7 linked regions of the Coturnix japonica genome follow. The protein of the gene in region 4 purifies or fractionates together with the protein of the main gene of each other region. This does not show direct contact. Links are inferred from orthologs where the notes say so. Each region holds a gene or a part of one and is shown on either strand. Other genes may lie near its edges. The genes, in order: EIF3J, EIF3B, PDCD4, EIF4G1, EIF3I, MKNK1 and EIF3A.

Evidence for each region.
Region 1: the proteins of EIF4G1 (region 4) and EIF3J purify together in Homo sapiens (affinity purification with western blotting; 3 studies listed by BioGRID and IntAct, with this or other methods). This does not show direct contact. The link is inferred for Coturnix japonica from reciprocal best matches to the Homo sapiens genes EIF4G1 and EIF3J.
Region 2: the proteins of EIF4G1 (region 4) and EIF3B purify together in Homo sapiens (affinity purification with western blotting; 7 studies listed by BioGRID and IntAct, with this or other methods). This does not show direct contact. The link is inferred for Coturnix japonica from reciprocal best matches to the Homo sapiens genes EIF4G1 and EIF3B.
Region 3: the proteins of EIF4G1 (region 4) and PDCD4 purify together in Homo sapiens (affinity purification with western blotting; 3 studies listed by BioGRID and IntAct, with this or other methods). This does not show direct contact. The link is inferred for Coturnix japonica from reciprocal best matches to the Homo sapiens genes EIF4G1 and PDCD4.
Region 5: the proteins of EIF4G1 (region 4) and EIF3I purify together in Homo sapiens (affinity purification with mass spectrometry; 5 studies listed by BioGRID and IntAct, counting the BioPlex papers as one, with this or other methods). This does not show direct contact. The link is inferred for Coturnix japonica from reciprocal best matches to the Homo sapiens genes EIF4G1 and EIF3I.
Region 6: the proteins of EIF4G1 (region 4) and MKNK1 purify together in Homo sapiens (affinity purification with western blotting; 3 studies listed by BioGRID and IntAct, with this or other methods). This does not show direct contact. The link is inferred for Coturnix japonica from reciprocal best matches to the Homo sapiens genes EIF4G1 and MKNK1.
Region 7: the proteins of EIF4G1 (region 4) and EIF3A purify together in Homo sapiens (affinity purification with western blotting; 4 studies listed by BioGRID, with this or other methods). This does not show direct contact. The link is inferred for Coturnix japonica from reciprocal best matches to the Homo sapiens genes EIF4G1 and EIF3A.

Annotation. Positions count from the first base shown.
Region 1 is NC_029525.1:17,930,937-17,933,370, forward strand, and holds the end of EIF3J (eukaryotic translation initiation factor 3 subunit J), read right to left. Parts: intron 2,341-2,434; coding exon 2,267-2,340; intron 1,535-2,266; coding exon 1,403-1,534; 3' UTR 501-1,402; downstream 1-500. UniProt on the Homo sapiens protein: Component of the eukaryotic translation initiation factor 3 (eIF-3) complex, which is required for several steps in the initiation of protein synthesis.
Region 2 is NC_029529.1:3,185,052-3,189,189, reverse strand, and holds the start of EIF3B (eukaryotic translation initiation factor 3 subunit B), read right to left. Parts: upstream 2,801-4,138; 5' UTR 2,502-2,800; coding exon 2,066-2,501; intron 1-2,065.
Region 3 is NC_029521.1:23,094,881-23,098,380, reverse strand, and holds the end of PDCD4 (programmed cell death protein 4), read right to left. Parts: intron 3,111-3,500; coding exon 3,003-3,110; intron 2,160-3,002; coding exon 2,049-2,159; intron 1,659-2,048; exon of another isoform or gene 1,598-1,658; coding exon 1,458-1,597; exon of another isoform or gene 1,178-1,457; intron 932-1,177; exon of another isoform or gene 722-931; intron 557-721; exon of another isoform or gene 461-556; coding exon 400-460; 3' UTR 286-399; downstream 1-285. UniProt on the Homo sapiens protein: Inhibits translation initiation and cap-dependent translation. May excert its function by hindering the interaction between EIF4A1 and EIF4G. Inhibits the helicase activity of EIF4A. Modulates the activation of JUN kinase.
Region 4 is NC_029524.1:13,914,605-13,918,104, reverse strand, and holds part of EIF4G1 (eukaryotic translation initiation factor 4 gamma 1), read right to left. Parts: intron 2,736-3,500; coding exon 2,715-2,735; intron 2,502-2,714; exon of another isoform or gene 2,423-2,501; coding exon of another isoform or gene 2,384-2,422; intron 2,133-2,383; coding exon 1,959-2,132; intron 1,652-1,958; coding exon 1,552-1,651; intron 921-1,551; exon of another isoform or gene 902-920; intron 1-901.
Region 5 is NC_029538.1:4,527,855-4,531,920, forward strand, and holds the start of EIF3I (eukaryotic translation initiation factor 3 subunit I), read right to left. Parts: upstream 2,801-4,066; 5' UTR 2,773-2,800; coding exon of another isoform or gene 2,760-2,772; 5' UTR 2,686-2,759; coding exon 2,683-2,685; exon of another isoform or gene 2,679-2,682; intron 2,520-2,678; coding exon 2,427-2,519; intron 2,301-2,426; coding exon 2,213-2,300; intron 1,961-2,212; coding exon 1,895-1,960; intron 1,586-1,894; coding exon 1,436-1,585; intron 1,332-1,435; coding exon 1,204-1,331; intron 926-1,203; coding exon 815-925; intron 538-814; coding exon 448-537; intron 193-447; coding exon 119-192; intron 1-118. Other genes in the region: TMEM234 (transmembrane protein 234), read left to right, coding at 2,760-2,772, 2,911-3,062, 3,347-3,413, 3,700-3,792. UniProt on the Homo sapiens protein: Component of the eukaryotic translation initiation factor 3 (eIF-3) complex, which is required for several steps in the initiation of protein synthesis.
Region 6 is NC_029523.1:19,353,105-19,356,991, forward strand, and holds the end of MKNK1 (MAP kinase-interacting serine/threonine-protein kinase 1), read right to left. Parts: coding exon 3,860-3,887; coding exon of another isoform or gene 3,856-3,859; intron 3,241-3,855; coding exon 3,197-3,240; intron 2,269-3,196; coding exon 2,040-2,268; 3' UTR 501-2,039; downstream 1-500. UniProt on the Homo sapiens protein: May play a role in the response to environmental stress and cytokines. Appears to regulate translation by phosphorylating EIF4E, thus increasing the affinity of this protein for the 7-methylguanosine-containing mRNA cap.
Region 7 is NC_029521.1:26,731,030-26,734,529, forward strand, and holds part of EIF3A (eukaryotic translation initiation factor 3 subunit A), read right to left. Parts: intron 2,454-3,500; coding exon 1,627-2,453; intron 768-1,626; coding exon 593-767; intron 242-592; coding exon 72-241; intron 1-71. UniProt on the Homo sapiens protein: RNA-binding component of the eukaryotic translation initiation factor 3 (eIF-3) complex, which is required for several steps in the initiation of protein synthesis.

The sequences.
Region 1 (2,434 bases), on a different chromosome or scaffold from region 4:
GTTGTAAGTACTTAGAATGCTGCTGCTGTCTTAACCTGAAGGTGTTGTGTACAATAAATCCTACCCTGTTCAAATACCGACTGCTGGCTGTGGGTCTCAGGGATCGCAGCAGGAACTGCACCTCAACCAGCAGGAAAACAAAGTAAAACATCCTGAACCTGACGATAAAACGAGCAGAATTAATTGGCTCCTACACGCTACAGAGAACCCATTGTTTGTCGTCTTTGGTTCCAATCTGATCAGCTTGTTTCTGTTTTCCAGCTTAGTGATGAGGTTTAAGCCCAGCTCCTGTTTAACAAGCTCCAAGAGAGCAGAACCCAATAGAGAGAATAAGAACCGAATATCTGTGCTCTGCTCAGTTATGGATTCCTTCCCACGCTCATACAGAGCAGCCGTGGGGACGAGGCCTTCCCTGGAGCTCAGGGCTGCCATGGTGGGTGATGAAGCTCTGCTCCCCAACAGCAGCACACAGAAAGAACAGGGTCCAAAGGGCGCTGTGGTGAAGTCCTCACAATAGTGATTTTTATTAAATTAGTTGCTTTATAAAACATTGCGGATGTCGTAATTGTTAACGTAACAATTTGCCCCACTGTAGTAACTGCTGCAGTTTGCTAAGCAAGTTGTTTGTTTTTAAATGAAAGAAAATAGCCGAGTCATGAAAGAGCAACCGCAGCCCAGGAGACCAAAGTCGTGTTTGGTTTTTTACACCGAAACCAGGCAGTAACTGTTAAAGGGCCCGACCCGGCCAGCGGCACCGGCAGAAATGCAGACGAATGGAAACTCACCATCATGGCGTGAGTTTTGGTTTTGTTTTTCCCAAACCTGGAGCTCTTTCCCTGCTCTCTCCCAGCGCTGCTGTGTGGACGTCACCCTGTGCAGCCGTGCGACTCCCACTCCTGAAGTCAGCAGTTCCCCTTCACAATACACTGAAAACCTCAAGCTCTAAGACAAAGCAACTGTAATACTAAGTGCACACCCATGGCTGCAAACAGCGTCTGCTCATCAAACAACTCATTCAAGGAGGTTCAGTTAAGGCCGTGTCGTACAAGAGGGCCGGTAATACTCGGCCTCTTTGAAATTCATTTCCAATTTGGTGGCTGTCTGTGAAATCAAACAGCCATTTCTGGGAGCAGAATTCGGTGATTTGGGTTTGTGGGTTTTTGGGTTGTTCCTTTTATTTTTTTTTTCCCCTGTAATTTTGGAGCTTTTGAGCTGCTTCCTTCCAGCGCCTCGAGCACAGAACAGGGAGGGCAGCACTTGGGCACCGCCTGCCGCGCCGAGCCACCAGCACAGAGACTGCAACCTTGATAACAGCATTTGGCAGAATTTAAAGAAAGAGAAGTTGTGCTACATGTTTAAGGGGTTATGGGCAACAGAAAGACAACAGAAGGGGAGATAAATGTCACATGAAGTCTTCAAACTCTTGTACGTATTCTCCATCGTATCCTCCATAATCAGCCAGGTCATCTTTCATAGTAGCCTTTAATCCACCTCCAGGCACAACACCTTTTTTCTTCTTTTTGGCTTTACTCTGCTTGAAAAGGAAGGAGAGTGGATTTAGTGACACAGCCACAGCAGTCTGTCCTCCTTCTGATTAGACAGAGCCCAGAGGAGCAAATACCTGCATTGCTGTTCCACTACGAACCCGTCCTCTAACCTGATTTAACACTCCGAAAAATGCATTGCTAGTGATATCTTCAATTTCATTGCTGTCTATACAGCTCAACTCATTATTGAATCTCCACCAACCCGAGGTTTTAAATCTATTCTCCAAAACCTACTGTTATGTTCTGTACCACATAAGCATCTGTTAAGCTATTATCTCACCTCATTTTCATGTCTATGCAGCCATTGCTCCTTCCATTGCCAGAGCACAGGAACACCCCAACCGTCAGCTATTCCAAACCCCAGCAACAAACTCGGCCTAAGGCTGCAGTTGTTCTGCTGTCCTGATGCTGTAGCCCTGCTGCCCTGTGATGCCTTGACTTGGGCCTCTTCACTGCCATGACAGCACCATGTGAACACACAGCTCAGCTCCAGTCTACCAGCCAAGGCTTTGGCCTGTGCTCTGACTTAATAGAACTCCTGCTGACCTCACACATATAAGGGTGTTTTAGATCAGTATCCAGGACTACAACGTCACCTACTGTCACACACAACCCCAGCAGCAGTTCAGGTCAGCGCTGGACCTGCTGTGCAGTGCAGGCATTGAGCACCTTCAGCAGGAGCTGCCTCAGCTGCATCCAGCTGTGGGATTGTGTCTCACCTTCTCCTGTTTCTGTTTTTCACTGCATAGTACCGTCAATGAATTCGTGATCTTCTTCAAATCATCAATTTCCACTACAGAGAAAAGAAAAAAAGAGATTCCTCATCAACTTTGTGCTCACATACCCTCCCATCATCACAGTCCTCTCATGACTGTAGAGGTATGAGA
Region 2 (4,138 bases), on a different chromosome or scaffold from region 4:
CAGTTGAAAGGCACACAGTACAGCCCTATGTCACACACAAAATTAGGAGCAACAAAAACAGCAGCAGGCTTCTAGACACAGTTTACCTGTGGAATTTTCTGCATACCTTACTCTAAGCTGTATCTCAAGACAATTCCATTTAATTATTTTGTATCCACAAACTTAACCCCGCGGGTAACATAGAATTTAAACACATTTGGGTTGCTTTCCCCTCAACTTCTTTCTACAAAGATGAAAGTTCACCCAGTATGAGCCAAAGACTCAGAAGAAAGGAAATAAGAAGCTGCAAATAAGTTAACTTCTAAGCACATACAACACCTTAGAGTATATTAGGATATCTTGCCATTACCCAGCTAGCTAACAACACACATACACTGAAGCCATTGACAGGTAACCTCTGGCCTGAGAGCTAACAGATGGGCAGGGAAGCATCTACAAAAACTCTAAGGACTGAAAAAAGGAATTTCAAAACCTGATATTATAGAAAAATAATATTTTTTAATTATAGAATCTTTATATCTTTAGTTCTTCTTGCATGTAATATGGAAACATGTCCTCTAAGGAACCAGGTTATTTCCACAAAATCTTATGGGAAAAAGAGAACGATAATCCTGAAGCTCTGAGAGTCTCTTTTTCATAGCCAGTTCCCACAAAAGGCTATAAAAGAAAGGAATGCTTATTTAGCTTAACATGGAAGTAGAGGACATTCTATCCTAAATCAGAACTCTAACAGGTTAAACACATACCTACACTGTGTATCTCCTCTACCTTAAATGCAAAACTACCAACAAAGAAACCTTCAAAGGGCAGCGGCTGGTTCAGCCAGCTCTATTCCCACAGGCCAGAAAAGAGGGGTGTGGTGGGTGCACGGCTATCTTCAGCTGGCAGAATTTTAAGGACCTCTCTCATTATCTGAACTAAAGCTTCATGGCACCTGGGCGATGATCTGACACATTCCTTCTATGGAAGGTGGAACAGCTGTTCTGCTGTGCCAACACCATTCTGGGAAAAAAAAACCAACATAAGTCAAACTAACACCTGAGATGATCCAATCTTAAAGCCAGACTGGTTCAGAATTGTTCCTGAACACGTAACTCTTATCATAAATGTGGGAATATGGAAATAACCTTGAATCAGTGATGCTGATGGCCTGGAATTGATTGTCCTGTGGAGTTATCAGGGTAAAGGAAAAGGAATAAGGCAGCTCAAGAAGTAGAACAGGCAGATAGAAAACCAGACCAGCAGGAGTGACTAAAGTTAAACGCTGTAATTCAGCCACTAACATTGTATTATTCATACAGATGAAGAGTCAACCAAATTAATCCTAAAGAACAGAACAGAAAAAAAGACAGGAAATGTTCTGGGTTCTATCTAAACACTGACATGAATGTGATAATCCCCGATGTAGAGAAAGCATCCAAAGCAAACACTTCACTAGACAAGAATCCAGTGATAAACCTGCAGACACTTTTGGTAGTGTCTCTAAGATACACGTGCTCAAAGTGCCATATACACTACTAAGAATAACACACTTTCTTAATTCAAAATACTTCTCCACTTATTTATTAAGCTAAACATAGGAATGGAACACAAGAAAGCACAATTACCACTTGTATTCCGCCACCAATTCAAACCACCTGCTGACTCAGGAAGCAGTACATGCTTTAAGAGGCATTTTTCCAGCTCTGATACGTGTAACCATTACAGAACCTACAGCAGCATTTACGTCAGAGTAAGAACTGGCACAACAGACAAATGGATTTGCTGTTCAAGAATTGACACGGTTTATCTTGAAAGAGTTGTCCGAAACAGTAGAAATACTGAAGCACCAAAGACAGCTGCTGCCATAACGCCTTATGGGGCCAAACGACGGCTGGGTCATTGTATGACACTCAGTATCCAGCTTTTCCTCACAGACCCCGAGCTGCTCCACACCCGCAGCTCATCGCCCCGTTTCAGGAGGGCAGCGCTGACGGCACCAACCGCACGGACACGCCGAGGCCTCCCCACGTTCCCGCAGCGCCCCGGCCCAGCCCAGCCCGCCCCGAGCCGGCCCCGCACAAACCTTCGTCGCTGATGTCGTCCACGAATCCCTCGGGATCGCTGAACGAAAGCTCGTCCTCGGGCTCGGCGGGCGCGGCCTCCCCGTCCTCGCAGGGCTCGGTTGGCGGCTCGGCCTCGGCCTGGGACTCGCTCTTGGCCTCCTCCGACGGCGGCTCGGCCTCGGGCCCGGCCTGCGAGGGGCTCTCCCGGCCGGACGCCGACTGAGGGGAGGGCGGCTGAAGCGGCTGGGGCTCGGCGGGGGGCTCCGAGGCGGCGGGTGGCGGCTCAGGGGGCCCCTCAGAGCCGCCCTGTTCCTCCGGCCCTTCTTTCTCCCCTTCCTCCTCCTCCTTCAGTTGCTGCTGAGGCGGCGGCTCTGTCGGCGCTCCGTCGGCCCGCTCGGGTTCCTCGGCCGGGTCCTGTGCGCCGGGCGGCGCGGGGCTGTCCTCGGTGCCCTGCATGGGGTCGGTACGAGGCCCCACCGGCCGCGCGTTCCCAGCTCGAGAGCGACGGGAAAAGGAGCGGGGGAGGGGTGGGGAGGCTCCTACCGCCGGGCCATGTGCGCCAGGCCCCGCGAGCCGCCGCTACCAACGGGAGGGGGGGGCCGGGTTAGAGCAGCGCTGCCCGATGGAGCTTCCACCCGCCGCTTCTTTCTCCCTGCTCTTCCCCAGAGCGATCGCCGCCTCCTTCACCGCTCACCCCTCCTGCTCGGCCAGCAGCGCCGTCCGTCCTTTCCGAGCCCTCGCGGCTGCGGCTCCCCCTGCTGCACTGCTTTATGGTTCAGCCCAACATGGCGGCTCCTGCCCGTCCGCTGAGGTGGGGTTGGACCGAACCATTTCTCGGGAGGCCAAAAGCGGATCGTGTCTCTGTGCTCAACCGGGCGGGCGGCGACCGAACCCTCCGTGCGGTGCCGGCACTTCAGGCCATCAAACGTCCTGCACCGGGCAGGAGGAAACAGCGAATCTTGTCGCCTTCCCCCCCGCGGATCTACCGCTGTGGGCCCGTCCAAAGGCGGCGGGGCGATGGCGGGCGCTACCACAGCTCGTGATGGAGGGGCGGTGATGCTGGGCCCGGCCCGGCCCTGCCAACACATCGCCGGCTCAGTGAGCTGAGCTCTGTGTCCATTAAACCATTAAACCAAGGACACTTTGATCCCGATGCAAAGATACGTCCGAGTGTGTGCGGTGATACATCCACAAACAGAGAACACAGGGCTTTTCTTTGATGCCGTCAGGTTTAAGCGATGGCTTTGGAGGGAAAAAGCAGTTATTGAGGATTTAATCAGAAGCCGCTCGGAAAAGCTCGTTTTGTGATTTATCGGGCAGCCACAAGGTGCCACCCGAGCTCCATCCGAGCGCTGTGAGCGTCGGATCCCTCTTGAAGCCGCGTTTATGAATGGAAATGATGACTGGCCCCGCTGTGTGACAGCACTGGGCCGGGCTGTGACTTGCTGGGTTTCAGCAGCAAGTAGGAAGTAAAGGAAGAGCTGCTGCCTGTCCTGCTTACTAGCACGTTTTTTATCCAGATAGGAGGACATGCTGTGCTGCAACCCACAGCACCAGCTGCATCCTCACCATTATACGGCTTGTCCTTTTGTGACTCGGCTTTTGCAGCTCCTCACAGTTGCCTGCATTGCTGGGATAGACAGATTTCTATATGACCTTTCTTTCTGTTTACAAGCTATCAGCAAATTTGAATGCTGGGTCTTTCTTCCCTGTCATCTGTTTGAACTTTCTCTTACTTTACAGCACATTTTAATCCTTCCTTCCTTCCTTCCTTCCTTCCTTCCTTCCTTCCTTCCTTCCTTCCTTCCTTCCTTCCTTCCTTTCTTCTTCTTCTTCCTTTCTCCATCTTCCCCTCCATTCCCCTCTTCCTACCTTCCCCTCCCGTCCCTTTCCTCCTCCCTCCTCCTCCGTCCTCCTCTCCCCTCTCTCCTCCTCCTCCTCCTCCATCCCATCCATCCCTATCCCTCCTCTTCCTTCTTCCTTTTCTTCTTCCTCCTTTCCTTCCTTCCTTTCTTCCTTCCTGTCCCCTTCTTCCTTATCTTCCTTTGCTTCCTTCTTTCCTTTCCTATTCCCTTCCCTTCCTCTCTTCTGTC
Region 3 (3,500 bases), on a different chromosome or scaffold from region 4:
AAACAGCGGCAGTCAGACGTGGATGCAAACATGGAATGATCACTTATGGCACTTATAAAAGGTAGCTTATCTGAAGGCACCGCCACAACGGAGCGGCCAGTTGGTCTGTTTGGATGCCCAAAGAAAGAACTTTTCTTTCTGAAATCTATAAAACTCTTAAAAAAAAAACAAAAACAAAAAAAAAAAAAACCAACTGATCTGTACCCAAAACACGTGCTCTTAAAAATATAGCAACTGTGCTAAGCAACTCGTAGAAATTTGGTATACAATACATGCATATACGTATATACAGGCACACGGACCAAAAAAGGCCTGTGTGTCTGTATATATCTATATAGATGCCTCTCTTTTGTCTCTTTCCCTTTCAACTTCTAAGGCTTCAGCAGTTGGTTCCGACATTCAGTAGCTTTCTAGTTTCAGCCGGCCTCCATCTCCTTCACTCACAAAGCGCTTCCTGCCCCTGGAAAACAACACAAAGTCTATTATCAGCAAGTCTGTGGTAGCATCACTTCTGTCAGTGGGAAGAATCTTCTCTTGGTCTCGAGTTAAATGTGAGGTGTGTGAGACTGAGCAAAATGATGAATCAGATAAAGAATCCTACACTATGTTATTCTCAAGAAGCTCTTCAGATTTCTCCTGTCCCTTTAACACTGAACATTACCATCTGTGCTTCCAAAAGCTGCTCGCTTGAAACCCTACAAATGACATTTTTCTACCCCAGACTGAAACACAAGCTCAAAACTCCTGTCTGTATATTCCTGAGAGCTGAAGCATCATGAAGCTTTTGTTGCAGCAATGACTTTCGGCCCTACCGAACCCTCAGTGCAAGCTGATGTCGAGATTCAAACTGGAAGATATTGAACAGACAGCATTTCTGGTGCAGAATATCATGGATAGTTTTAACATCGACATTTACACATCAAACTTAAAGGTTGTATTCTGACCAATAATACAGAATACCGAGAAGCTACAGTTAAGCAATAATAAAGCAGAAAACTCTACAATATTGGATGTATCTCACAGTTGCCTTTTTTAGTGTATGTAGAGCTTTTGCCACAGAAATGCCTGGTTGCTTTCTGACAAAAACCATGAGAATTGGTGTCTAATCCCAGAACTCTTATTAATTCAGTTTACAATGTTTAAACTGCTTTAAAACATGTTCTTTTTTCCCCTCCAGGTTTGTCTGCATCATTAAAACTCCTGGATCTTCCATCTCAGCACTGCGCTGATCTCTGCCAAGTGAGCAAAACTGAGAGGAGATGCAGGCCTTCATGTGCTGCAGCAGTCAGACACGCTGCCAGGGATTCCAACAGCAGCTTCCTTCCCTCACATATGTATCAACCCTGTTCTCTTTGTTCCTCCATCTCCCCTGGTCTCTGTACCAACCCGTCACACCCAGGTTATAAGATCCTGCTTCCAAACTGAGCTCCAGCACCTCTCTGTAATAAAACAAGTACCTGGAAGGACAAAGGTCTCTCAGTGGTTTGGAGATGATTCCAGCCTGAAAACATTCCTCCACAAACCGCTCGAGCACAGAATAGGAGTGTGGCACATCCAGGTTAATATCTGGTATTTCACAGTAAACTCGTTCGTAGCCCTGTAGTTTAAGAAAGCAAATAATTATTTGGTTGTTCTAAAATTACAATTTTTTAACCATCTTTTTGCACTCAGATGATGGCTTTTTGAATGCAGTTTCATGTATTCTTTAAGCTGTTTCAATCAACTGAAAGCAAAACACCTGCAAATTATACCTTGCTTTGCCACTAATACCAGCCAGTTCCAAGAGCTGGTGTTGCACAACAACACATCTATATGAACACACTGGCTGAGCATTTTAGCTTCTTAAAGTCAGAAATCCAGGCAGTACAGAATGTATACGACAGCCCAGCTGCCAGTAACACAAGGAAGAAGGATTAATTGCTCTGCCCTGTAGATAGAGGGCAGGCCACAGATCTCAAGGAGAGATGCAATAAATTACAACCAGTACTTAAAAGAAGATAGAAGCTACTTGAAAATCTTACCCAGCATTCTTTCAATGCCATACTTACTCTTTTCATTTGGTCCATAGTAATGACAGAAGACCTCGAGAGAGATTTCAGCAAATCCAGCATCATTTTAAAGGTCTTTTCTCCAGTAGACTCCAAAACCATCACGATTGCCTAAAACAAACCATGCAAGGCTTTTAATTAAAGGAAAACAGTGGTTTGAGTGCAGGTTGTGTATCAAAGTGCAAAAAAAGAGTGAATGTATTTCTGGGGAGACAAGTCCATTTGCTACAAGCAGTTCCAATTCCAGAATATTGTTATTTGAAAGGAAAGCAAAGCCTGATAAAAAGTTATTGGCATAAAGCTGAAAGGTATGAGAAAAGAGGAAGGACTGGGCAGAGTAAAGAACACTGCCTTGTTGGAGGGATACATAACTGGATCTGCATGGTTGCTGCAGCACAGATGGCAATTAATTTTGTATCCAACCATTTCAAGTGCAAACCAAAACTGCCTACTAGATACAGCAAAGATCTTTCTTGTATAGTCTGGTTCTGAGTTATCTCAGCCTTCTACAGAGATACTACATGGAACAATTCCAGCCTGCAAAGGAAACTATATCTTAACAAAAACAGGCAACACCCATTAGAATGCCCAGATGTCTGAAAACTGTTGTAACACGTAATTAAAAGGAAATAAACTCCAATACAACCTAGGGCTTTTGCTGGTATTCCTCAGCAGAAAATAAGCTAAGCTCTTATTTTTCAGGTATCAGTAATAGTCTGAACACAGCTAATTACCCAGCAAACAAAATAAAATTCTGGATCTTCCCAGAAGGACCAGCAGCTTATTTATTACACAACATACACACAGTGAGCACATAAACCATTAACTTTACATGAAGTAATTCAGTTACTTAAATAACATCAAAACTTGAAACTGAGCTTCAAGTTCCAGCTAAATGCATACCCACATCAAAACAACACCCGGCAGTCATTAAAGGGACTCATTTCTCCTTACTTCATATACAAGTTCATGGTGAAAATGGGGTACTTCCAGATCCTGAAGGCAACGTTCAGCTTCCAGCAGGTCTCCAGAAAGCAAATATTCTTTCAGCAGCATATCAATCTATTGCATTTTAAAACAAACAAAACCCATCACTAGTTAGATACAAGATTTAAAAGCTGCCAACTGTTCTGCTGATTGGTGATCAATCTAGTATCAAGCTAGTTCCTCAAACCTACAGCTAGAGTTCTAGTAAATGGAATTAAATTGAGATATGGGCAGGACCCTCAAACATACTGTAAGCCAGATACGTCTTTCTGTAACGTAACACAGATGTGCTACCACTAAAACTTTGCTTCAAGTGATGACTGCAAGTTTATCTTCTTGCCTGAACTCTTTATCATCTGCTACACTCACAGCTCAAGAGAATATAATGTGACTATTTATTTTAAACCTTCTGCCTACTTCGTAGCACAGATCTCCTAAGTTTTCTCAGAACTTCCTGACTTTTAT
Region 4 (3,500 bases):
AGGCCTGACCAAATTCCTTCCCTATGAGACGCGGCGTCCCTGCGCCGCCCCCACACCCAGCCGTGCCCACCGGCTCCAGGACACCGCCAGTCCCTCCGGGATGCTGAGCCATGCTTGGGTGCAGGAGCCCTGGCTCCATGGGTTCTGCCTTCCTGCCAGCAACCTTATCTCTCCTGGGCCAGCAGCAGCCTAAGGGCGGCTCCACACAGCCCCATCCACGCCCTCCATTCATTCACACCCTTGGGCTCCCCACTCAGACCACTGTGAACTGAGCTCACAGCACTGAATGATGCTGAGGGCTGGATGCAACACTGGGCCCTGATCCAGACCCCAAAAGGTGCTGTGTTCCTCCCCAAGTTATCCATGCAATGAGCTTCTTAGGTAGGGCTGGCATCAGCCAGGGCTGCATCGTGCCCCAGGCTGGAAGCGACTGCAGTACCTGCACAGGGAGGGACAGGGGCAGCTGTACCCTGGCCTCCTCCCACCTCTAGCATTTCTCAGCCACACTGAACACAGAACTCACTCAGTGACACACTGACAGCCACTTTGCCCCCATTCTGGTGACCCACGCGTGACACAAAGCCAGCCTGCCTGCCCAGGGAAGCAGCTTGGGGTTGGGGCCAGATGTTAGGGAAGCCATGAAGCCACAGAAGAGGACCCCAGTGATAGGCTGGGGGAACATCAGAAGGGCCTCAAATCCCTCTAGTAGCTAGGGGGATGGGGAAGGAGGAGACCCTAAGACTGCAGGCTAGGGGACAGAACCACCCAGCACGCTCCAGGCACTATGGAGCAGTGCAGCAACAGGCCGAGTGCTGGGACTGGGCCCAGCTGGCCATGCCTGGGGCCACCTCCTCCCTCCGAGGGGCTGATGGGACAAAAGGGAGGGAGGACAAACACATACCTGGCTCAGGAGAAACCCCTCTCCGCCCCAGTTTGCTTTGCTGCCATACCGGGGACGGGACGGAGGCCTCAGCTCACATTTCTGAGTCTGCCAGGCCTCCCGGGAAGGACCAAGCCTAAATATAGTCACAGCCTGGGTGGCTGCATACAAGCCGGGGGAAGGAGGGGGGGCTGCTTTTACCACCACTCCCCAGCTCCGGGAGAGGGCAGGCGTGGAGCAGTCACTGCCCAGACCCTGCTCACCCAGGACATGCAGCTGGCTCAGGCAGGGGAGGCAGCACCAAACAACCACTCACCACCAGCTTGCAAGCCAAGGGGAAAAGGGGATAAAGTCTGCCCTGTCCCTCTGCCTGGGCAGTTAAACATTAATCTGTCCCGATTTGGAAAAGGAGGTGGGTGGACAGATGGGACACGATGCACGGCCTTCAGGAATGCACTGGGAGACATAGAGCCCCCCCTAAGATCCCAAAAGAGCACGTAGTGGCGTCAGCAGTCACAGAATGCACCTCACAAAACCCAGAGACACAGGGAATTTGTGCTCAGCCCACCAATTTGTGGGGTTGCAGGGAGGCCAGAGTCAGAGGAGCAAAAGGGATGAAGCATCGTGGATGGAAGAGCAATGGCACACAGAGTAATCCCCCCAGTCTGTACCGTAAGTCCCAAACTCTGTGGGGCTGGCTCCAGGGTAAAAACTAGGGGCACCAGGCTGAACTGGGTACTGTTGTGTTGGGACAACGTACGTTGAACGACCCTGAAATAGGGGAGAAGAAAGTTGGTTATATTCCCAGCAGGGCACAGGCAAATACCAAACCAGTGCGTGCCCCAAACCTGCGTGCCATTAAGGCAGGGCACAGGACACAAGACAAGCATCAAGTACCCAGGGTTAGCCCACAAAACCCCACAGGTGCTGCCCCTCTGCAGAGCTGGACAACACCCTGATGGAGTCAGGGACAGCTCAGAGAACCAGGGTAACCCCCTCCACCTCCCAGAACAAACTTGGGCTCCAACCCTGAGCCCACCCCAGCCCAATCCCGCAGAGCCCGGGGCACAGCCCTCACCTGTCCGGGAATGTAATAGGCTCCTTGGGAAGGTGTGTAGGATATCTGGGAGGGTATCATCATCACCTGGGAAGCAGCTGGATACACATGGGCAGGAGGGCCAGGCCGGGCCGTTGTGTTGCTCTGCACGCGGGACGCGCTGGCAGGAGGCTGGGCCCTGTTCTGGTAGAAATGCTTTGGGAGAGACAGGGATGCAGTGAGGCCAGAGCAATAGCACCCCCCTGCCAAAGGGACGAGGCAACCGAGCCAGGCCCCCCCTCTAACCCAGACAGAAGGTTCACAGCACCTATCACCCCAAAACTCATCCTAGGCACAGGGAGCACCCCTGGGTGGAGATTTAAAGAGGGGAGCCCCCCCACCAGAATGCAGCTCACCCCTTACACCCCCTCCCCTCCTTTCCAGGCACCCCCTACTGCCCCACACACCTGTGGGGGGCCCACCTGGCTCCATCCGACCCAGCTCATGCCCAGCACAGCCCACTCCCAGCCCAGCAGGGCCGGCAGCGCCCGGAGCCGGCCACGGCTGCACGCAGCTCATCGGCACGTCCCAGCGTGCCTTGCAATGGGGGCCGGCACTCGCGCTGAATGCCGGGACCTGCAGTCCCACTGTGCCATGCTGCAACGTGCAGGACACGCAGCCCCTGCAGCACTGCTTTACTGGGTGGCAGCACCCCAGGGCTGGGGAACAGGCAGCAGGGAAGGAGGTGTCTGCACGTCTGGTGTGCAGGGCAAGGCTGGAGCAAGGAGAAAGCATTACCTGGAGAGACCTGAATCCTCCCTGATAGCAAGTGCACGCAGACAGAGGGAGAGGGGAAAGAGAGAGAGACAGGAGTTACACTGCCGCGCTGGGGTGGGATGAGGGGATGGGGTGGTGAGAGGGGACGGGGTGGGAGTGCAAGCGTGGTGCTGTGGGATGGAGGAGCAGCAGCCAGGCTGCCAGTGTGATGGCCACATCCCAGATCCACCCATGCTGGGGGACGCGGGGAGCTGCCTGCCCCTATGGAGGTCCCTATGGAGCCAGGGGGACCCAGCACAGTGTGGATGTCACTAGGTTTGTGCCCAGCTGTTCCTTGGAGCTGAATGAGGCGCTTTGCTCAAACTCCCAGGGGCAACAGCTGCAGCGTTGCAGGCAGGATGCAGGGGGACACATCCAGCTTGCTGGGCACAAGGCCTTGTCCACCTCCTGGCACTGTCAGGTCCCAGCCCCACCATGGCTGCAGCCTCCCACAGCCTAAGGGACATGCTGGGTACACTGCAGAGAGACACTATCACTCCCAGGGCACTGCATTAGTCAGGGACAGGCCAGCAGTGTGACACAACTGCTGCCTCAGGAGACCCCCCCCACACTCCACCCCACAGAAAGAAGGAAGAAGAAGATGAGGAGAAGGGCACAGGCAGAAGCAGAGGCCTGGGCTGGGACTAGCACAGGCAGAGCCACATGCACTAGACTTCATGCAAAAGCAGCCAAGAAACTCGGGGACACCGCAGTGAAACCCCTCCAGCTGATCCCACTGAGTAATGAACCTCTTTCCTCCAGCCTGCT
Region 5 (4,066 bases), on a different chromosome or scaffold from region 4:
TTCCTCAGAGAAGCTCTGCAATTCTAGTAACTCTCCAAATGCTGCCAATAGCAAGACGCTCTGGGAGCAGGAGAGAACTCCAAGTGCAGACTCAGCCCTGCCAGAGAAGAGCACCAACCTTGCCTCAAATTTGCCAATCCTGGTGGAGGTCGTGGTCACATCCATGGCCTCCTGCCCACCACCGAGCACAACCTGCATAGGAAGAAAGTCACAACACTGCAGTGCTGCTTACACCATATGTGGAACAACAGCCAGGGTAGGAGGGAGCCCAGCCTTGGGGAAGCCTCCCACTAACCCAGCACAGCCCATGACAGCAGTCAAGTCCCCTGGCCCTGTCCCACAGTGATTCTTTAGCTCAGGCTGAACTGGTGACACTGTGCCTTCCAGCTGCCTGAGACAATGCAGGAGCTGCACTAAGACCGTTAGTATGCGTGGGCTCATGCTTACGTGATCAAAAATGGGGGAGAGTGCAGCAGAGTTCACCGGTCGCTCTGTCCGGAATGTCTTCAGATGTTCCAGCGTTGTGCAGTCAAATAGCTAAAATGCAAAAGGAAGAGAGTGGCAGTCCAAGTATCTCATGCAAACCCCAGCTGCCAGTCCTCACATGAGCAGGTGTTACTTCTAAAGTCACTCCTGGGCATCCAAATGTCAAAGCTATTGCTCCAGAATCCCAAATATCAGCCCTCCCACTAAGCTTTGGCTCTACACCTGCTCAAATTCCCAAAGAGAAAACCACTGAGGCAGCCATGACTTTGAGCAGGGGTCCTGCAAGCGGATGTCAGCAATGCACCGCAGTCCCCCCAGGAGGCCTCACCTTGGCAGTGTTATCCTTGGAGGCAGTGATGAACATGGTCATGTCCCTGGAGGTCTGAATATCATTGATTTGCTTGGTGTGCTCCTTGATGTTTGAAAGCTGCTCCCCTGACTGAAGGGTAAACGAGGCAGTTTAAGTGAACTGGCAAGGAAAGTGTACAAACAACTTCTCTGCTAAAACCGACTTTAGATGTTGCTGTCAGCAGAAAGGTAGGCATATATATGTTCAGCTTTGCTGAAGAAAGCCACATACTTTAACTATCCTTCCTCAAGGCCACTGGTTTGAGCCAAAAAAACCCACATTCTGCCACATGATCACAACAGGAACGTTGCAACATCCTCTCCCAAGAGTTGCTGCCTGAGGGTGATGCTCCTCCTTATCACACTGACCTTGGCACTGAACTGGTTCAGCTCCCCACTCTCGTGTCCTGCGATGATGAATTCTCCCAAAGGGCCCCACACAGCACTAGTGATTTTAGAGTCGCTGCAGGGGATTTTCATGTAAGGCTCGTTGTTCTCTGCAGGAAGGAAGGATGGAGACACACAGACTGAGTGGCACCAGCTCTTGGCAGCCAACGCTTCCCCTTATTCCCAGTTGCAGGCACAGGCCCGGATTCCTCACCGATTTGGCTGGGGTCACGCAGGTCAAAGAAGCTCACAAAACACTGATAACCCATCTGCTTGTCCGTGGAAAACATGATGATGTTTCCTCCAAAGTCAAAGCCACACGTCCTCACTGCCGAGCTGGTCTTCACCAGAGCGAGCTGCTTTCCTGAACACGGAGCAGAAACCATCACTTCACTTGGTCTTGCATTGCAAACATTAATGAAAGCAATCAAACAGAAGTGCAGTCATAGAAAGAACAGGAGCATCAGAGCTGACAGACAGGTTGGGTGACTGGAAAGCACTAAATGTGCTTGGTGAGCAAAATGAATAAGTGCCCATTGAAAATAAGGCAAATACACAAACAGCCAAGAAAGGACTTGGGCTCTTTCAGGGGCAAACAGGCACATGTTGCACAGATCCCAGAACAGGACAGAGCTGAGTCAGATCCAGCCACGTGGGAGAGAAGAGCCTTTACCTGTTTCACAGTCCCAGAGCCGACAGCTGTTATCTGCAGAGCCAGTGAGCACATGTCGGGTGTCCCCTTGGTCAGCAGTTAAGGGATATCAGCACGTTTGCAGCCCCAAAAATCATTAGATACCCAGGGAGTATTTACACACAAGATTAAGAAGCTGCGTTACATTGAGAAATTACAGGACTTGGGAAACTTCCCAAGGAGCACAAATAACCAAGAGATGGCACAAGGGACAATTAAACACAGCAGCTGAATGGAGCCATCCGTGCTGAATCACTGCAAGGAACGAGAGCACAAACTGGTTGTGCACCCAAAGGATACAGTCAGCATCCACACACCACACGGCTCCTGTGTGCCCATTGTAGGTGCCCAGCCGTTCTCCATTCACCGAGTACCAAACGTTGACGATCTAAAAGAAGATAAAAAGGCTTGAAGAGCCGCTCTGACCAATTACCTGAGCTCGTTAATTACCCACCTTTATCCCTCCCCCCCCATCGCACACAGCCCGGTTTCCCGGTGCCCCCGGTTCACTCACGGGATCCTTGGCCACAGTGAACAGCAGGTCTCCCTCTCGGTTGTACTTGATCTGTGTGATGGATCGCTCGTGGCCCTGCAGCAGGATCGGCTTCTGCACGCGGCAATGAGGGAAGGCGCCATTTAACGCTATGCCAAGCGAGGCCGAGGCCCCGGCTGGGGCTCAGGCTGCCACCACCATCAGCCCAGGAGCCCCGCCGACCCCAGGACCCAGCCGGGACCCGCATCAGCCCGGCCCGGCCCACAACCCGACTCACCATGGCGGACACGGCGCTGCCGGAACCGGAGCGAGAGAGAAGAGGCGTGGAGTATCACGTCCGGGTCACGGGGCGCTATGGCGGCCGCCGGTGAGCTTCCGGGTTTGGGGGACGGGCCTCGGGTGGATCCCGGAGGGGCTGAGGGGACGGGGTGGGCTGTGTGAGGGGGCTGCGGGCTGATGGCGGCCGGGCCAACAGCCCCGGGGCTGAGCTGATGTTGTGCTGCAGGGCAGGCCGCCGTGCTGGTGCTGGTGTCGGTTCTATGGGGCAGCACCGGGCCGTTCCTACGGACGGGAGCGGCGGGGCTGTTGGACGTGCAGCGCCGGGGGCTCCTACGGCAGCTGCTGGCCGAGATCAGGTTCCTGGGCTGCAACTACAAGGTGAGCACAGCCGGAATCATGGGGTGTATGGGACGGGCCTTCATGCTCCTTCCTGCACTCAGCACCTCCCATCTATCAGCAAAATGATTTGTACTCTATAACATTTCATCTACCCACCTGCAGTCCTGCTCTTCTTATGGAGAACTTAGACACTTGTAGAAATTAACCCTCATATTTCACATTCAGACCTGCCTGCCTTCTGCAGACATGGCATCCAAGGCTTGCACTGCTTGCTGCAGGCATTGCAATGCTTTTCCATGCAGTGACCTGTCTTCTTTCCGCAGTACATGGTGCCATTCCTGCTGAACCAATGTGGATCGCTCCTCTTCTACCTCACCTTGGCATCTGCAGGTCAGCTCTCACTGCTTTGTCCAGTGGGTTGATCAGGGTTTGGGGAGGAGCTGTATTACTGATTCATTTGGTGATCTGGCTGAACATCAAGTATCATCATCATAGTATCACAGTCTGGTGTGGGTTGGAAGGGACCTTAGAGATCATCGAGTCCAACCCCCGGGATTCGAGCCTCCTGTGTAGCAGAGCGGCACTTCTACCACTTGTGCCACAGGGGGATTCAAGTAGATGTCTTTGAATGAAGGACGCATCCATTTCAAACCGTGTTACAATTGTTCAATTTCAGAGCTGTCCCTGGCAGTGCCGCTCTGTAACTCCCTGGCTCTGATAGTCACGCTGGTGACTGGAAGGATTTTGGGAGAGGATATTGGTGGTAAAAGTAAGTTACGCTTAAAACATTTGGCACGTTGTATTCTGCATCTATTTGTTGTTTTAATGTTGTGTGCTCCCTTCTGGTAACTGCTTAGGCAGTAGTTTGTGCAAGGAAGCTGAAAAGGAAGTGAAACTGACTTGTAAGGGGGTAGAGCTAGTGAATTTAAATTGGCTGGAACTGGCTGTTTTAAGCTAGCAGAACTTGTAGGCCTGAGCCTTCACCTAATGATGTATTTAACCATAAGAGAAATGTCCATACACTAACATTATCCTGCTTAAGA
Region 6 (3,887 bases), on a different chromosome or scaffold from region 4:
AACAATTGGCTTAAATGACTGCCTCTTCCTTGTTTTGGGGCAGTTTTCTTAGTTGCTAATTTTACATGACTCTGGCATAAACTGCAACCAGCTGCTTGTTTTCCTTTGCCAGAAGTTACAGCCTTGAAGAAGCACTCCAGATTTTAGCTCTGCAGTTAAAAGCCCAACATCTCAGCTTCAAGCCCTGAACAGATGAGTTTGTAAGTATGAATCAGAGGGGATGCTCTAATACAGGTCACACGTGGAGGCAGCTGCTGGCAGCATCCACAAGGCAGCTTTAAGCACCATGGGACTCAGAGCCACCAGCTGAAGGGCTCTCATAATCATCAGACAAAGTTTAGTGCAAGTCCTGCTTGAGATTGATAAAATAATACAGTCAAGGAGTGACAGCTATGCTTATTCTCAAGAGTAACCATAGAGAAGTAATTCCTGATTATTCTTTTTCCCAAAGTCACCAAAAATCAACAGCAAAAAACCACACAGAAGAACTGTCAAACGTGTTAAATCCAAAGCTTAAAACGTTTTAATAAAAACAAAGCAACATACATTTCATCATCACTGGCACAACGTAGAAAACCTTTTAAATAAGAACTTTAATACTAGTCACAAAATACAGAATGTTGTATAAAAATAGCTGTGTGCACACTGATAAAAGAATGTAAAACTGCTCTGAATAGGACATACAAAGACATTCAGCTTTGACTACTCAACTTCCAAGCACTTGTTGGATCAGCTACTTTAACTCCTTTTCATTCTGCTTGGGAGGGCTTTATGCTTGCACTGGGGACCCTCCTCAGCCTGTACACAATGCCCAAGCAAACAAACGGCTGGCAAGGTTAAGGTGCATCACGTTGGGCATCTCAGCCCTATTTTCACAGCTTATGTTTTAGAAAGTGCTCAACAGTTGCATCCTTCTCAACGGACACCTCAACTTGGTCACTCAAAATCTTCAGCTTTTCAGCCAATACCCTTTCAAATAACTTCTGATCCCTGGTGCATCACGGTACTAAAACTGGTACTTAAAATCTAGTCCCTCAGCCTGAGATCACTGCACAGATGCTTTTCAACAGATGTACCTCCAGATTTGATAATCCTAAATCACTCACGTACCAAAATTTACTCAAGCCTGTCCATTAAGAACTGCAGGTAATGCACACAAATGGATTTGGAAGAACGTGAGGAAGAAAGGAAGGTACAGTGGACAACAGTATTAACGTACAAAGCAAAACAGATATTAAGCATAATAATATGTAATAACGTGGTTATCAGTGTAACTGTAAGAGAAGGGGACAATGGACAAAAAGAACTGGTATAATATTGTCATGGTTTTGTTACAGTACATTGTAGTTGAGAACAAGATGTCAGAAAAAGAAGTAACACTTCCAGATTTCGTCCCACATGCAGACACACAAACTACCAACAAGGATAATAATAAAAAGAAGCAACAAGGTCCTCATCATCTCTGCAAGCTTGAGACCTCCTTACACCTTTACAATATTATTCACTAAACATTTATGCCCAGTGAAGGCAGTGGAGACAAAGATCCACCCTCCAGTCATCATTTCTGTTTCCTGAGTCTACAAGAAGAGAGATGGGCACTGTTGGTTGAAAACAGTCCCTGCTGCTGACAGTAGCAGCAGCAACCTTGCAGGATTTGCCATCAAAGAGAGCAAACATATGTAAACTTTATGCTCTGCCAGGCAAAGCAAGAAAGTATTTTTTTCCCCGATGTTTTTAAGCTTGAATTTTAAAGTGTGCTCTTCTAAGAAGAAAACATGAAAGCTTTGTGATGCATCACCTCAGATAATACAGCAGCAAAACCATCTTCTCTAGTTTAAAAACATCAGTTAAATTATCTTAATGCACCAAATCTGACAGGCAAAAACATTCCCATAAAAAGCTACCCCCTTTACATTATGAAGCACATCACAAAGAGCAAGCTTCTATTCAAAGAGTAAGAAGCAGATAAGCTTTTATCAGTACTGAAAATCCACCTAATAAAACAGGCTGATCTCGCCAATCTGTAGCAGGAAAGAAGTTTAAAAGGCTTTATGGGGAACTGGCTGGAAGTCACAGTTTTTGGTGGCATGTGTCATTGCTCTTCGCTTGGCGAGCCGGGATTTGGATGGAGGAGAAAGCTTCATGGAGCACACAGCTTGGGCAACGCTCTCCTGTTCTGCGCTGAGCTCGTTCTCGTGCTGAGACAACTGGCGGTTAAGGGCTATAGCCTCAGCAGCAAAAAGCGTCAGGTCTTTTGTGCTACTGTTCCTTTCAAGGGAAAAAAGGAAAGCAGTTAGAACACATACAAAGAGGATAAGTTTGGCTGCTTACCCTAACAGCAGAATATGCATTTCCATGCATTTTTTTTTTTCTCCTATCCAAACAGTGACACGGTAAGCAATAAGACCAGTTAATATTTGCATCTCTCTGTGGCAACCAGCAATACATAATAAAAATGCTTTGAGATTCTGGAAACAGACACAGTTTTAGTCCTCTGTCTGCCAAGGACTCCCCAGGAAAACCCAGGAATCCACCTGCAACACTGTGCTTCAGCTTCTACATGTTAAGAAAGGAGAGGCATGTGGGACAACACTGTTTCTCTTCAGAGAACTGCAGTCCCACTAGAACTGCACATCTGGGTGCAGGAATTGCATTTCTGAGGATAGGAAGAACCTGGAATTGCCAGTGGCAGACATGAAAATAGAGAAGTGTGACTCAGGCCCTACAGCATCCAGAATCTGCCATCAAACCACTTAATACAAAGCTTCTCCTGCTCATGGTTAAATTGCTACTGTGATTACCACATTTTCAATGGAAGTCAGATCTGGGTCTGTACATTTGATTACCCACCCATCAAAATGTAGTCTCTTTGGGTAACACACGCCTTTATGCCTCTTTTTGCCTCCTGGGCAGCAAACTGCCAAAACCATGATTATTTCCATCCTAAGATTAGCCATGCTCCACAGGAATCCTCTCCAATGCCTTTCCCACAAACAAGTAAGATTAGATTATAAAGAAAAATGACAGCTTTAATATTTCTGATGCTCTTAACAAAATTAGTGCTGCCACACTTACATAGTTCCACTATTAACCACGGATCTTACCCGCTCATTTGCCACCTCCTGCCCCTCCCATTCCTTCAGTAACAACTCCTAGCCAACCTTATAGATATTAAAAAAGGTGAAAAAAAGATTACCTTTGAAGAACTTGAGGGGTAGGCAGTCCCCTTTCAGGAGCCTGCTAGAAGAAGCAGTTAAGAAAAGTTAGTTATGTGTGAGTAGGTGGGAATCAAACATTCACAAGAATGATTTCAAAGAACAACAGGTAACCCCCTCAGATTTACAACTAATGGATATGGTACATTAACTGCTTCACCACAGGTTTACAAACCACTGTTGATATTTTCTGATCCACCTCTCCCATCACAGAACATGACCACCGTTTGCAGGTACAATGCAAAAGTTTGAGAAGCTCTCCAGAGGGCCCCATCTGTTCTTTCTTGAACTAAGAACTAAAGCAAAAGAGCATACTGCTGTTCTTTTAAAACCATACCTACCAGCATTCTGCAGCATTGTATTAGAGAGTAACATCACAATAAGCGCACTGCAGTGCTTCGTTTCCACAGGAAAGCTATTTAAAATGCATAAAGCAAATTAAAAAAATACTTAAAGCTTGACAGAGTCATCCAAATATTTACCACACAGAGCTACGGGAAGAATAAAACCACTGGATATAATGTAATTAATCAAGACACGAGCACTAAACATGAAATATCTCTCCTAAATATTTAGAGAGAAGGAGCAGCTTGTTTACAACTCAGGAAGAAAAATGACCCTTAAAAACACAATAGGATACATACTCCTTGAACCCATGAATGTTGCAAAACT
Region 7 (3,500 bases), on a different chromosome or scaffold from region 4:
CTAAGGCTGCCAGGATAATGTGGAGTGCCTGTAATGATTGTAAGCCTTTAGAAACAACAAAACAAACATACGTTCTTCACGTTCAGATCTGAGTGGAGGTCCTCTTCTCAGTGGTGGTTCTCTGTCATCAGCACGGCGATCTCTCATGTCACGACCACCTCTGTCCCACTCTTCACGACGACTCGAATCCCTCCAGCTAGATGTTTCCTCAGCTGGTCCTCTTCTCCAACCAGCGTCATCCCTTTTGCCATTCAAAATGAAAAATGATACTAAATGTTAATGTTTTATCTTTGCTGCAGAAAGAAGTGATGATGACACTGATACTTTCAGTTGCGATGGGTCTCTATTTAATATGCTGACTTCCAAAATCTTTTCTGGTGCCCAGCATGAAATACAATGTACAGGGGGAAAAAAACAAAATATTTAAAGGCAGTAAAGCATTCTGGGATTCACTGTTAGTATTTTAAGAACAACAAACCATGACATCATTATCCATTTACTACCTCAAAGAACTCCATTTCTTACACATCAGCAACAGTTCATTTCACTACGTGAAGTCGTATTATTTCTTAATTACACAAAGGAGTCAAACCTGGGACGCCTGAAACGATCATCTCGATCAAAATCTCTTTCTCGGTCAAATTCACGCTCTTTCTCATTCTCATCACGATCTTTGTCTCTGTCCCACTCACGGTCTCCAGGAGGCCTGGAGTCTCGGGGAGGCCCCCAGCTGTCTTCACGGGCCTTCTCGCGTTCCCTCCATCCCCCTGTAAGCAATGAAGTCAAAGGAATATATGAATAACTTTAATTCCTCAAAGATGCATTTACTTCTCTCCCATAAACTGTTTAGCCAATTGTTTGGGATTTTTTTCCATAGGAAAAAGCTACTGGAGTGCAAATATAATGATTTCTGATAATTTTAGTACTGGTTTAAATGACATAATTGATGTCTAAAGAGTTGATGTGGCACCTGTAAAAATATAAAATAAAAAGATGCTAAACATACAAATGTGAATAAAAAAACACAATCAGAAACAAGTAATGGTTACCAACACTTCTACTTTGGGTTAGAAGTAAACCACATAGGAATAGGATAGTAGGATAATTCAGGTTGGAAGGGACCTCAGAAGGTCATCTCATCTAAAATCCTACTTAGTGGAAGATGTTCCAAAAAAGTATGGTAAAAATAGGAGTATTTCTATATCTAGGAAAAAAGAAAAAAACCTTATCCAAACCAGACCCACTTGAGTGATGCAATGATGCATCAAAGTCCTTCCTATAGCAGATTAATTCCAGATTGGGTAGGGAAAGAGATCAAGGTGCACTCAACTAGTGAAAATGTTCTTCCTCCATCAAAGCATTAAACCTGTGTATCTTGTTTTTTTGCATCAATTAAATACCACCAAATACTATGGGACCTTTAGATTTTGGCCATACACGGTTTGTTTAATTGAACCAAACGAAAACGATTAATTATCCTAAGTAAAGGAGAGTCCATGTTAGCAGAATTACTCCCGACATTTTCAGAGATGATTCTCCCACCTCTTGTGTCAAACATATCACATCCACTATCTGCTGGTTTAACTATGCTTTGGAGGAAAAAATCATTGCATTATTCTGCTTTACCTGGTTTACCAAATGGTCTCCAAGGACCTGGTCTTGAATCTTCACTGCTACGCCATGGCCCCCTGTCATCATCTCGTCTGGAGAGCCTGTCATCATCTGCATTACGCCACGGTCCCCTGTCATCATCCAGACCTCGCCTGGGACCCCTGTCGTCATCCATCCCACGCCTGGGACCCCTGTCGTCATCTGCAGCACGCCAACTGCCCCTGTCATCATCCAGCCCACGCCTGGGTGGCCTGTCATCATCTAAAGCCCGTCTGGGCGGCCTATCATCATCCAGCCCACGCCTGGGTCCTCTGTCATCATCTGCTGCTCGCCAACTGCCTCTGTCGTCATCCAAGCCACGTCTCGGTGGTCTGTCATCATCCAATGCACGTCTTGGGGGTCTGTCATCATCCAATGCACGTCTCGGTGGTCTGTCATCATCCAATGCACGTCTGGGGGGTCTGTCATCATCCAATGCACGTCTCGGTGGTCTGTCATCATCCAAAGCACGTCTGGGGGGTCTGTCATCATCCAAAGCACGCCTGGGACCCCTATCGTCATCTGCAGCCCGCCAGCTCCCTCTATCATCATCCAAGCCACGTCTGGGGGGTCTGTCCTCATCCAAACCACGTCTGAGTGGCCTGTCCTCATCCCCTTCGCGCCGAGGTGGTCTGTCTTCATCCCCTTCACGCCGAGGTGGCCTGTCCTCACTTGATTCCACAGAAGGCCGTTCCTTTTCTTCTGCAGGACCTCGTCGGGGCAGATCATCCCCTCGTCGGGGTAGATCATCTCCTCGTCGGAAAGGTCTTTCATCATCTCTTGCTTCTCCTCGGCGCCAATCTCTATAAAGCCACAAGGAATAAGCAAGTAGAAAATGACATCTAGGAAAGCTCTGCATGTAAGACAAGTGTTGCTGACTCCCATCAAAATCACTTCTGAAAACCTGATGTATGGTTGCAAGTACATTTACAGAGCTTGCAGTTTTCAAACGCACAAGGTCTAATTGCCTTGAGTGCTATACAAAAGTGATAGGTCAGCTCCTTAACAGATTCAGTTAATACTGAACAGTTTATCATCCTTTTAAACATTACAGCTGCTTAGTAGTCTCCTTTGGCCATCTACTGCAATAAAACAGAGAAGGTGTTTTGCTTCTTCATCAAGCTTAATTTGACAAACTCTGTATCTCAAAGAACTCGTTAAAAATAAAAACCATGGTCATGAAGTATCCCCCATCTTCACAAACACAAACACACAAATCATGGTCATGAAGTATCCCCCATCTCCACAAACACACCAACCCTAAAATCCCATCCCTGTTTTCCCTTAACAGATTGGTGATGCTCTCACTGACAAACACACACAACTGGGTACAGCAGAACAACTACTGCTGCCCAACTGCAAGCAAAGTGCAAGCTCTGGCAGACTAAGATGACTTACAGGGATTCTCCTTACTAGGTTGTAGCAGGGATAAAAAGCATTGATGAGAGTTTTCACTGGGCTATTGAGCCATCAGTTCATCTTTAGAATATGCTTAGCTCTGTAACACTAAAAGGATCAGACATTACTGAACAGTAGTGATAGCATTCTACCTTGTCACTAAGCTAAGTACTGTCTCCAGTAATGCCCACAGGAGTCATGGTAAAGAAAAGACTGAGAGTACTGCAATACACTGATACACTGGAATCCTGTACTCTGGGGACTGCTGCAAAAGACAATCAGCTGCTCTGTAACTGTGAGGATTTGTGTCCTAGTTTTACGTGCATGTCAGACCTGCTCCACAAGAAATCAATACCTGCCAGACATTTTTAGCTGCAAGCTAATGCGTTAAATCTGAAGCATATAAACAGAAGCATTAAATGCTTCTGCAATATGTAACTAAAATGTTTCAT